Oryctolagus cuniculus: one gene and its partners. The protein of the gene in region 1 interacts with the protein of each later gene in a pairwise test. Links are inferred from orthologs where the notes say so. Each region holds a gene or a part of one and is shown in the gene's direction. Other genes may lie near its edges.

Evidence for each region.
Region 2: the proteins of UBE2U (region 1) and TRIM32 interact in binary tests that used the Homo sapiens proteins (3 or more experiments, as listed by UniProt). The link is inferred for Oryctolagus cuniculus from reciprocal best matches to the Homo sapiens genes UBE2U and TRIM32.
Region 3: the proteins of UBE2U (region 1) and RNF144B interact in a two-hybrid assay, tested with the Homo sapiens proteins (2 studies listed by BioGRID and IntAct). The link is inferred for Oryctolagus cuniculus from reciprocal best matches to the Homo sapiens genes UBE2U and RNF144B.

Annotation. Positions count from the first base shown.
Region 1 is NC_091438.1:108,530,533-108,534,648, reverse strand, and holds part of UBE2U (ubiquitin-conjugating enzyme E2 U), read left to right. Parts: intron 1-169; coding exon 170-267; intron 268-3,034; coding exon 3,035-3,155; intron 3,156-4,116. UniProt on the Homo sapiens protein: Catalyzes the covalent attachment of ubiquitin to other proteins.
Region 2 is NC_091432.1:220,212,123-220,216,234, forward strand, and holds the end of TRIM32 (E3 ubiquitin-protein ligase TRIM32), read left to right. Parts: intron 1-224; 5' UTR 225-305; coding exon 306-2,267; 3' UTR 2,268-3,291; downstream 3,292-4,112. UniProt on the Homo sapiens protein: E3 ubiquitin ligase that plays a role in various biological processes including neural stem cell differentiation, innate immunity, inflammatory resonse and autophagy.
Region 3 is NC_091436.1:145,652,471-145,656,586, forward strand, and holds part of RNF144B (E3 ubiquitin-protein ligase RNF144B), read left to right. Parts: intron 1-892; coding exon 893-1,037; intron 1,038-4,116.

The DNA of each region.
Region 1 (4,116 bases):
ACAAGAGAGGGTGAAGACTGGGGACAGACATGGTGTTTCATTGCAGAGGGAAGAAATAGTAAAAAGGAAGAGTGGATGTAAATAATCTTCCTGGTTTATCATTTTGATGTTCATCAATTTCAAATATTTTTACTGTATGTATCAATATTAATGTATTGTTTTAATACAGTAGACCCCTATACTGGTCAACCATGTATAGATTTTTTGGACAACCCTGAGAAGTGGAATACAAGCTACACGTTGAGCAGCATCTTACTCACTCTACAGGTAAGAATGGAGTTAATGCAATGCTCCCTTTAATACTATTAATATCGCAATCATACAAAACATAAAGATGAAAATACAAAGTCTTTTAAAGGACTTGAGCAAGTTTATCTAAATCAACATTTCTATGTTAAGTTTCTAAACTGGAATTTAAATTATAAAAACTATTATTTTAAAATGAAGTGAGTAGCTAAGGCCCTTTACAACTGAATACATATTTCATGAAGAAGAACAGTCTTATTAGGATGTTTCAATTCTAGAAATACAGCCTTAGATTTTCTTTTTGCTCCTGACTTCACTTCCTGATATTGAGCAGGCCTTTTAGGTCTTTGCTCATTCCTGAACCTTGCCGTCCTCAAAGAAGTGAATCAAATGATTACAGCTGAGAATGTTTTGCTTTATCCTTTGTTTCTGACAGTGTTGGCTACTTTCTCTTACATGTTCACATCAAACCGAGTGAACAATTAAACCAGAGATTTTCTCTCCTCAGATAGATGCCTGTTTCCCAACTACTACCTCCATCCCCTCTGGGCCCGTGGTACTTAGTAACATGCTCAGTGTTTTGTTATTCCTGACCCTGTAAAACCCTCCTTTCTTATCCAATGCTAAAACAAAGTATTTCAGCCAACCAACTTATCATTAGTAACAAATGGAAATATAATATTAAATTTTTATTATCAAGAACACTTGGAGAATGAAATATTCTGGCTTAATTGAAATTTTCTCAACATAGAATTACTACATAAATTCCATTTCTCGTTTTGTAGTTTTAAAAATAAATAAAATAATAGTTTATTTTCTGGAAGGTCAGCTTAGTATACTGAGTAAAATGTAAATCCTTTTTAAAAATTCAGTATTCGGCCGGCGCCGCGGCTCACTGGGCTAATCCTCCGCCTTGTGGCGCCGGCACATTGGGTTCTAGTCCCGGTCGGGGCGCCGGATTCTGTCCCGGTTGCCCCTCTTCCAGGCCAGCCCTCTGCTGTGGCCAGGGAGTGCAGTGGAGGATGGCCCAAGTGCTTGGGCCCTGTACCCCATGGGAGACCAGGAAAAGCACCTGGCTCCTGGCTCCTGCCATCGGATCAGCGTGGTGCACTGGCCGCAGCGCGCCAGCCGTGGCGGCCATTGGAGGGTGAACCAACGGCAAAGGAAGACCTTTCTCTGTCTCTCTCTCTCACTGTCCACTCTGCCTGTCAAAAAAAAAAAAAAAAAATTCAGTATTCAGTTCATTCATTAACTCCTTCTGAAAGTGTTTAGAGCATCCACCTGCATGGGGCTGTGTCCTAAGAGAAATCTGAGTAAAAATGTCAAAGAAGCGAGCGAGGCAGGTAGATATCTGGGGTTCATCTTCTGGATCTCTTCAAAGGTAAAGGTGAATATCAACACCCACCCCTAGAATAGATTCCAGATCCATGGGCATTAACTAATTTTATCTTACAAAATGTTATCTGCTGGTGCCACTGTTTACTGGAGCTCCATATTTTGTATTTATCCCTTGGAAAGCTTTTTATGTTATTTCATTCTACCACATGGTTATTTTAAAAGTTGAGCTTTCTATTTTTATTATTTAGCAGATGTCTGATTTATTAATTTTTAATATGACTTTATATTCCAATTCTTTAAAAATCATAAAATATACTTAACAGCTTGTATATATATTACATAAATAGATCATAGGCACAGTGGTTAATGAGAAGATTATTGAGTAAACTTTACCAGATAAGCTTCCCTTAGTAAAATTATATCTGTACAGCCAAAGACCAAAAGCCTGTATAGAAGGTAAGTCTCCTCTACCCCCACCCACTCTGAAAGGTATAGTGAAATCCACACTGAACCCTTCTTGAAGCAAGTATTCCATTCTTGGACATATAGCCCCAATGTGTTTCCAAAATAGGAAAACTCAAGTTACAGCAGCAAATTCTTGTTGATTTTGAGATATCAAATGTCAGATGGTTACTTTCATGATTGAGAGATTGCCATCATTCCTGTAACTTCCAAGCCACAACTGTCCACTTTGACCAGCATCTACACTTGTATATTGCACGGTTTAGCATATCTTATCATATAATTTGCATGTTGTAAGATACAATGTCTATATTACTAAATTGCAATAAATATTTTCAATTTGGGGAGATATAAGTCATGGTCTTGTGAAGTTGTAGTTACTTCTGGTCATTCGTGAGATGCAGACACACAAGATTTTAAAGATGTCTGCCATGTATTACTGTGAAAGGACTTGCAGATGAAATTATATTTACTCAGCAGCTGACCTTCAAATTGTCCTGAGTTGTGCCTAGAAATGAGCAGCTACATTCACTGTAATTACATTTAGCAGCAGGAGAAGACAACTACAGATAATAAATTAATCAAGTGTGTGCAACCTCAGTACCTGTGCTTGTTCATCCATGTTCTAATGTGGTATCATGTTAAAACGTAAAGCTTTATTTCTTAAGCCCGTGTAATGGAAATGTTTCAGTGTTTCCTAATGTTTAGTTCCTTTTCCATAAAAACCCAGTTCGAATGTGTATGACAGGAAGGAATGTGACAGGAAGGACTGTTAACTTGCTCTGACACCAGTGTTTAGCTTGTGAGTGTGCAGTATAAAACCAAGACAGATCGGAAGCTTCTTAAGTGTAAAGACTGTGTCTCACGTTACCTTTATGTCTATTCACAGGTCTGTGCATAGTAGGTATTTAATAAGTACTTATTGAAAGTTGTATTATCGGCTTGTCTTTCTGCTCTAAAATGTTATGTTGTCTATGTTTTCCTATAGGTTATGCTGTCTAATCCAGGGCTAGAACAGCCAGTGAATTTGGAAGCAGCCCAAATGCTGATTGAAAATGAATCTGTATACAGAACACTACTTCAAAGACTTTTCCACAAGTCATGCGAATGTAAGAAATGCCTACTTACTGTTATGTGGTAACCATCGATTATGCATTAAATTTGTATAGCAAATAAGTAATCTAGAAAATAATCATTATATAATGGAATATTTAAATATTTTCTGTATCCATTTTCAGTTAAAAATGGTACAAAGATCCCTTCTACTATAACTCTTTGTCAAACCAATCTCTTTCAAAAGATCAACAAAGACCTTAAGCTTATTATCTTTCAATGCTCTGATGGTGTGGATGGTTGGTGCCAGTTGAAACGAGTCTACCCATCAGAAAGATGTCACATCCGAGTTTAACTCAAGTACTTGGGCCATCATCTGCTGCCTTTCCAGCCACATTCTTCAGGAGCTGGGTTAGAAGCTGAGTAGCTGGGACTCGAATCGACACTCTGACATGGGATACTAGTGTTGCAGGGGGCACTTAACCCACTGAGCCACAATGCTGGCCCCAAAAACTTATTTTAAGGAATTTTCTATCTTTCTTGGGTGCTTTTTTAAAGTTAATTAAGTTTCTAAAAAAAAAAAAAAAAAAGAAGGTGAAGGAGAAGGAGGGGGAGGGGAGAAGGAGGAGAAAGAAGAGGAGGAAGAGGAGGAGGAGAAGGAAAGAAGAGAAATTAACTTCCAGATGCCATGACTTGGAACAGCACTTGTCTCAACTGTTGAGGAACATTTTTCGATTTTTTTTTCATCATGCAAATTGTAGAACTCTTTGCATAGAGTCGGTCTTCTATATATGAGATTGATTGAAAATGGATCTTAGTGGAGAATGGGACTGGGAATGGGAGAGGGAGTGTGTGGAGGGGTGGGAGTGTGGGTGGGAGGGTTTCTTTGGGAAAATAAAAGGTTTCTTTGGGAAAAAAAAAAAAAAAGAAACAAACTACTCCTTCCCCCCCCCAAAAAAAATAATTTCCTGCAAGAAATAATTCTGTGCAATACGTTTTCAGTTTTTCCCTGCAGAA
Region 2 (4,112 bases), on another chromosome or scaffold:
GAGCTCTTATTCTCTAAGCAATACTTTGGATTTCCTTTGTGTCACTTATCCACTAAGCAAAACTTTGTTTTGTTTCCCTTTGTGTCACTATCACCTTACACATAGTATCTCAGTTTTTGTTAGATAACTGAATGAATGTTCATAGCTCTCATCTAAATGTTTCTTGAGTGAATTAACTTATATAGGCAGTAGAAAATGAATAATGGTTTTTTTTGTCTCTTTAGCAGGAATTTTACTCTCTGGGGCATGAATACTGAGCTACTCAGTCCTGTGCTGTGCTACCAGTACCCTTCAAAGGAAGAGTGATGGCCGCAGCAGCAGCGTCTCACTTGAACCTGGATGCTCTCCGGGAAGTGCTGGAATGCCCCATTTGTATGGAGTCCTTCACGGAAGAGCAGCTGCGACCTAAGCTCCTGCACTGTGGTCATACCATCTGCCGCCAGTGCCTGGAGAAGCTCCTGGCCAGTAGCATCAATGGTGTCCGCTGTCCCTTTTGCAGCAAGATTACCCGCATAACCAGCCTGACCCAGCTCACAGACAACCTGACTGTGCTGAAGATCATCGACACAGCTGGACTCAGTGAGGCTGTAGGGCTGCTTATGTGCCGCGCTTGTGGGCGGCGGCTGCCCCGGCAGTTCTGCCGGAGCTGTGGCTTGGTGTTGTGTGAGCCCTGCCGGGAAGCAGACCACCAACCTCCTGGCCACAGTACACTTCCTGTCAAAGAGGCAGCTGAGGAGCGGCGTCGAGACTTTGGAGAGAAGTTAACCCGTCTGAGGGAGCTCATGGAAGAGCTGCAGCGGCGGAAAGTAGCCTTAGAAGGCGTGTCCAAGGACCTTCAAGCAAGATACAAAGCAGTTCTTCAGGAGTACGGGCATGAGGAGCGCAGGGTCCAGGATGAGCTGGCCCGTTCTCGGAAGTTTTTCACAGGCTCTTTGGCTGAAGTTGAGAAGTCCAATACTCAGGTTGTTGAGGAACAGAGTTACCTGCTTAACATTGCAGAGGTCCAGGCGGTGTCTCGCTGTGACTACTTCCTGGCCAAGATCAAGCAGGCAGATGTGGCCCTCCTGGAGGAGACAGCTGATGAGGAAGAGCCAGAGCTCACTGCCAGCTTGCCCCGGGAGCTCACCCTACAAGATGTGGAGCTCCTTAAGGTAGGTCATGTCGGCCCCCTCCAAATTGGGCAGGCAGTTAAAAAGCCCCGAACAGTTAACATGGAAGATTCCTGGGCCATGGAGGCTGCAGCTTCTGCTGCCTCTACTTCTGTTACATTTAGAGAGATGGACATGAGCCCTGAGGAAGTAGCTGCCAGCCCTAGGGCCTCACCTGCTAAACACCGAGGTCCTGAGGCCACTTCCAATATCCAGCAGTGCCTATTTCTCAAGAAGATGGGGGCCAAAGGCAGCACTCCAGGCATGTTCAATCTTCCAGTCAGTCTGTATGTGACCAGTCAAGGGGAGGTGCTGGTTGCTGACCGTGGTAACTACCGCATACAAGTCTTTACTCGCAAAGGATTTTTGAAGGAGATCCGCCGCAGCCCCAGTGGCATTGATGGCTTTGTGCTAAGCTTCCTGGGGGCTGATTTGCCCAATCTCACTCCTCTCTCAGTGGCCATGAACTGCCATGGGCTGATTGGTGTGACTGACAGCTATGACAACTCCCTCAAGGTATATACCTTGGATGGCCACTGCGTGGCCTGTCATAGAAGCCAGCTGAGCAAACCATGGGGTATCACAGCCCTGCCATCTGGTCAGTTTGTGGTAACTGATGTAGAAGGGGGAAAGCTTTGGTGTTTCACTGTTGACCGAGGAGCAGGGGTGGTCAAATACAGCTGCCTCTGCAGTGCTGTGCGGCCCAAGTTTGTCACCTGTGATGCTGAAGGCACCGTCTACTTCACCCAGGGCTTAGGCCTCAATCTGGAGAATCGGCAGAATGAGCACCACCTGGAGGGTGGCTTCTCCATTGGCTCTGTGGGTCCTGATGGGCAGCTGGGTCGCCAGATCAGCCACTTCTTCTCAGAGAATGAGGACTTCCGCTGCATTGCTGGCATGTGTGTGGATGCTCGTGGTGACCTCATCGTGGCTGACAGTAGTCGCAAGGAAATCCTCCATTTTCCTAAGGGTGGGGGCTTTAGTGTCCTGATTCGAGAGGGACTCACCTGTCCTGTGGGCATTGCCCTCACTCCTAAGGGACAGCTGCTAGTCTTGGATTGTTGGGATCATTGTATCAAGATCTACAGCTATCATCTGAGAAGATATTCCACCCCCTAGGGTATAAGAAATACCAATTTCTTCTGCTTCCCAGCCAACTTCCCTTCCCTCAGACCTTGGTTGGTGGCACCATAAAGTAGACTTGGCCTAGGTCTTGTCTCCAACTGGGTAGTCCTAGAATTTTAGTATTTTAGTGTTTTTTATTTGTTAAGCCTCCTTCCCTTCCATTCCACTCCTGCCTAAATTTAAAGCTTTGATAAATGCATTGTCCCAAATAGCACACATGATGGTGTTAGCTGAAGTTTAATTAGAAATTAGGCACTTCCAAGGCTTCAGTAGAAACACCCACTCTAACTTCTTGTCTCTGTGTTTGAAATGTGCCCTTGTATTGAAACCCTGTTGATTTTTCTCCTTTTGGCTTCGATGTCCCTGGTCCATTGTTTCTTTCCTATAATAATGTGCTTTATCCGTGACACTTTGTCTTCAACTCTGGTTGCATTCAGTGTGCATGCTTCAGTGGAATCTGCTCTGCCTTTCAGTGATATTTCAGAAATCATATCCCTGTAGCATGATACTTCAGGTCAGATCACCTTTAGTGTGAAAGCTCATTCATTTAGTATCACCAAGGGATATAATACCATACCTCTTGGCTGAGGACTGTGCCATCTTGGATTGGTTTCTTATTGCAGGTGTAACAAAAAAATGGATTAACCCTAGTTGGTTACTGTTGAAACTTCAGCATGGACATTTCTTGCCTTCTAAAGGATCATATGGATTGGAAAAAAGCCAAGACATAGAAAGATGGCAATAAACAAATATAAATACTGATACAGCCAACAAACTTGTATAGTTTCTAGGGCACATCATTTTTCATCTACCTCTCTCCAGTGACCTGTGTTAAGACTGTCTGCAGAATTGTAAAGCACATTGGAGAGGTGGACACATCTCATTTTCATTACTAAAACAATAGAAATGTTTGGTGGTTATTCTGTATTTTCCTCAAGTGACTGCATACTATTTGATTTAAGTATTGATTTCTGTTCCTCTATCAAGCATTAAATCATTGATAACTGTTTCTTCAAAAGTGGTGTTCATGTCTTTTCATTAAATATGGGATATGGGAGGTGAGGAGAGGGATAACTTGAATGATGCCATTTTATTCCTTCTCTGACACTCCATTGTTTCACAGCATAAGGATCCACCCAGGTCCATATTCAATTCAAAGTACCATTATGTACAAATAATCCAGATGTCTCTCCTACATATGTACAGAATCAACCCCCAAAGTTTAGAGTCACCAAAACCTGTTCTAGATTGAGCTGCCATCATGTTTTATTCTTATAATTACAGGTCATAAAAGGAAAGTGCTTTTAAGAATACCAGAAGTGGGGACCGGCGCCGCGGCTCACTAGGCTAATCCTCCGCCTTGCGACGCCAGCACACCGGGTTCTAGTCCCGGTCGGGGCACCGGATTCTGTCCCGGTTGCCCCTCTTCCAGGCCAGCTCTCTGCTGTGGCCAGGGAGTGCAGTGGAGAATGGCCCAAGTGCTTGGGCCCTGCACCCCATGGGAGACCAGGAGAAGTACCTGGCTCCTGCCATCGGATCAGCGCGGTGCGCCGGCCGCAGCGCGCCGGCCACAGCGGCCATTGGAGGGTGAACCAACGGCAAAGGAAGACCTTTCTCTCTGTCTCTCTCTCTCACTGTCCACTCTGCCTGTCAAAAAAAAAAATACCAGAAGTGGATAAGAGAATTTGTGAAGAGCTTCCTCAATCTTTGCTGTGTATTCAGCAGCATATCTTCCTGTTTGGGTACAGGGTTGATGGCAAGCCAAAGAGCTGTTCTGTTTCACAGAAACAAAATTTGCTAAGCTAAGCTACTCAAAACACTTTTTTATAGTTGTGTTGG
Region 3 (4,116 bases), on another chromosome or scaffold:
GCAGGCCTTAGCCAGGCTCAAACCAGCGCTTTTGACATTTTTACTGCTACAACAGTCAGCAACCTGGGTGTCGCAGGGCAATATGAAGAACTCACAGGGAAGGAAGAGTTGAGTTCTGACATTGTCACTTGGTGTCTGGGTCTCCTCATACAAGTCATTCAGTGCCTGTGAAACTGTTTCCCCATGGAAGAAAAAGCATTGGAATAGTACCTGTCCCACCACTATTTAGGGTTAGTGTCTGTATGAAGTCCAATCATGGATTTGATACTTTGAGAACCAAGTGTTGCTGTGTGCTGGGTGGGGGTTTTGATAAACAGTGGCTAATGTGTAATCCAGTGCTGTGGCTCCCCTGTCCCTTGACCCCATCTCAATGTATGCTACCTTTTTGTTTTCTTATGTCCCTTTTGGGGTGAGTCTGTACTGGCTGCTCACTTGCAGGTCTTTTCAACAATATTGGACATTTATTTTATAGTATTGCTTACTAAGACCATTCTCCCACTTGTTTAATGAGCAGATCATTAGATTCATGATCTATGCCCAATTTGGATCGTAAGCTTGTATCCCTGCTGTGGAGCTGACTCCTTGCACTTCTTATCCAGACAATGTATGCTTGGGAAATGAAATATTAATTTGGCAATAGAATGAGTTAAATCAACTGTGGAAAGTATAATGATGTAATTTTTCTCACAGCCAGAATAAATACATTTTCTTTCCTGCTTTGAGTTATCTGGACAGCTAGTAATCTACGTCTTCCCTATTTTTACCCTCAACCCTTGCTTTGGAAGTGACGTAAGCATTGATAACTGAGGGTGCATTCGTTACTATCAGAAGCCCTGGGGATTCAGCTGATGATTGTCAATTGCATGCAATTTCTCACCCGTGTTGTTTCTAGAGCCCTCTTTGGGACAGATGCGGAAGCCCCCATTAAGCAATGCCCAGTCTGCCGGGTTTATATCGAACGCAACGAAGGCTGTGCTCAGATGATGTGCAAGAACTGCAAGCACACATTCTGCTGGTATTGTCTCCAGAACCTGGACGTAAGTTCCACCTGTAAGGGGTTTCGCACCTAGCTTTCCTTGACTGCATCTGCACCACAGCCGCTATCCCACAGGTTTTCCTTTTAAAGTGATCAGCTTATTTGTGTCCTGCAAAAGGATTTTTTTTCTTTGCCAGACCTTGTGAGTCTGCTATTTGATTGGTTTTAATTATTTTATTAAGAATTGTAGGTACTTAGGGACTACTGTGTGATATTTCAATACAGGAATACAGTGTGTACTGATCCAATCAGGGTAATCAACATTTCTCCTTCTTTGAAGGTACTTTATGACTAGGGGCTTGGAGTTCCTTTCTTCTACTACTTTAGGTTTTTACACACACTCTTTTTAATTAGCTTAAGTATATCACCTTGGCTTTAAAGGCAAGGGGGGTATTGCCCAATACCTTTATGTAAAGGAATATTAGTGGATTAGTTTTCTATTGCTATTGTAACAAATTATCACGAACTCCACGGCTCAACACAGATCTGTTACCCTACAGTTCTGTGCACGGCAAGTCTGACAGGAGTCCCACGCTGTTGGGCAGGACTGCATTTGTTTGTGGAGGCCCTGGGGAGAATCTGTTTCCTTGCCTTTTCCATCTTTTCTAGGCTGCCCACCCTTCTTGGCTGTGGCTCCTTCCTCCATCTCAGTGCCAACAGCATTGTATCTCGCTGACACTTTTTCTGAGTCTCTGCCTTTGAACACCCTTATAATGAGATGGCACCATTTAGATAGTATAGCTTAGTCTTCCCCATCTCAAGGCCTTTAATTTATCTTCACACTTTCAAAATGTCTTTTGCTAATGTAAGGTAACCAGTTTTCAGGTTCTGGGGACTAGTTCTTAGGCATGGGGATTGGTCTGCCTCCCACAGTTAGGTTGTTTTCCTCTTTTATAATTTAAGGAAAACACCTGTTCACATCAGTAGTGTTTCTTAACTAAATCTCATTTACTGGCATGACACAGTACTGCTACTGTTTGGTCAATATTCCCTTAGAAAATCAAGGGAGTTAGCCAAATTATTGTTCCCTCTTTTACTCTTCATGATGGAGGTTTAGGGTGATATCTATGAATAAGAATCTTTGTAAAACGTTTTTTACTTTTTAAGATTTTTGATTGACATGTTAATACTTGAATATTTTATGGGGTATAGTGCAATATTTCAACATAGATATCAGCATAAATTGATCAGATTGGGCCATTAGCATCCCCATTTCTTATTTTTTTCTTTGTGATTGGAGCTCCTTTCTTCCACTTTGTTATACAGTATATAGTACATTATTAGAATAAGAATTTTAATCAGGAGGAGATGTTTGGTGTAGCGGTTAAGATCTACCCGGGACACCTGCATCCTATATTGTGGCACCTGGATTCAACTCCTAGATCTGCTCCTAATTCCAGCTGCCTGCTAATGTGCACCCTGGAAGGCAGCAGGTGATGGCTCAAGTGCTTGAGTCCTTGCCACCCAAGTGGGAGACCTGGACTGAGTTCCCAGCTCCTGGCTTCAGCCTAGCCCAAACCCATCTGTTGCTGGCATTTGGAGAGTGAACCAATGGATGGGAAATTCTCTCTCTCTCTCTTTCTTTCAAATGCATAAAACAGCAAATAAAAGTTAAGAATTTTGATGATAGTCTTTCAAGAAGAAATACCAAGTGGGGAGAAGAAGATGGTCATTTTGCATGCTAGAAGTACAGCAGCTCACATTGAAGGAAATATTTTCCTTTAAATTTTTGTTTTGGATTTATCATAGCCTCTTGTGTAATAGTTATATTTGATATTTGAGGCCTATTATAATTCTAAATCAGCAATATTATGGATAAGGATTTCAGAGTGTATGGCATACGTGCATTATGAAAAAAAGAAATCTTTGTTGTTTTCCTTCAGATTTATTTAACCAGAGTGTTAATTGGATTCATATCCACATGGAGGCCGAACCCATGAGGTTCTCCTTAGAAGGCAAGAATATAAGACTAAATGTGTGCAGCAGATCTACATCCCTTAGCTGAAATACGTTTGGAGGCCAGTGCTAGCTGAGAACACGCTGTTCTCTTGCTGTGCTGCTCTGGTTCTCCAAATGAAGTGGTGCAGATGTTCAGTGGCTGGAGACACAGATTTCAAACACTGCAGCATCTTTCTCTCCTCACTGTCTAATGAGATCCCATTCTGTCTGTTTTCTCCAGGGCTACTGACTTGCTGGTAATGATCTTGTTCTGTAGACAAATGTTCTATGTCACAGAGTGGCACTGATCTCTGTTTTTAGGGATGTGGAGAGCACAGGGCCAGGAGAGGGATGGTGGTCTAAAATCCAACTCTGTGATAGATACCAAGATTCTGAGTGTTGCTGGGGTATTGAGTTTGTTCCTGCCTTGATGCTCAGCCCTGCCAGGACAGGGTATTGCTTTTTTTTTTTTTTTTTTTTTTTTTTTTTTGACAGGCAGAGTGGACAGTGAGAGAGAGAGACAGAGAGAAAGGTCTTCCTTTGCCGTTGGTTCACCTTCCAATGGCCGCCGCGGCTGGCGCGCTGTGGCCGGCACACCGCACTGATCCGATGGCAGGAGCCAGGAGCCAGGTGCTTTTCCTGGTCTCCCATGGGGTGCGGGGCCCAAGCACCTGGGCCATCCTCCACTGCACTCCCTGGCCACAGCAGAGGGCTGGCCTGGAAGAGGGGCAACCGGGACAGAATCCGGCGCCCCGACCGGGACTAGAACCCGGTGTGCCAGCGCCGCTGGGCGGAGGATTAGCCTAGTGAGCCGCGGCGCCGGCCATGGACAGGGTATTGCTAATCTTCTTTGGACTCCTGTTCCCACTTGTAGCCTCACACACTTGTCCCTGCCAATGATCTTGTCTCACCTGTGACTTCTATTTCTGTTCTCTCATTTAAAACAAGTCAGTGAATAAAATGAGCAAGCTTTTCTCCAGCCTACATCTTCTCCTCCCTGCCCCTCTATTTTTCTCCTTGGTTTGGAAGCCAAGCTTCAGTGAATCCTGGTTACCTCTTGCTGTTGACATCCCCTCCCCTGCCAATCACTGTAGTGCACTCAGATTGCCACCCTGCCACTTCCTGCCTATATTTTCTCTCCA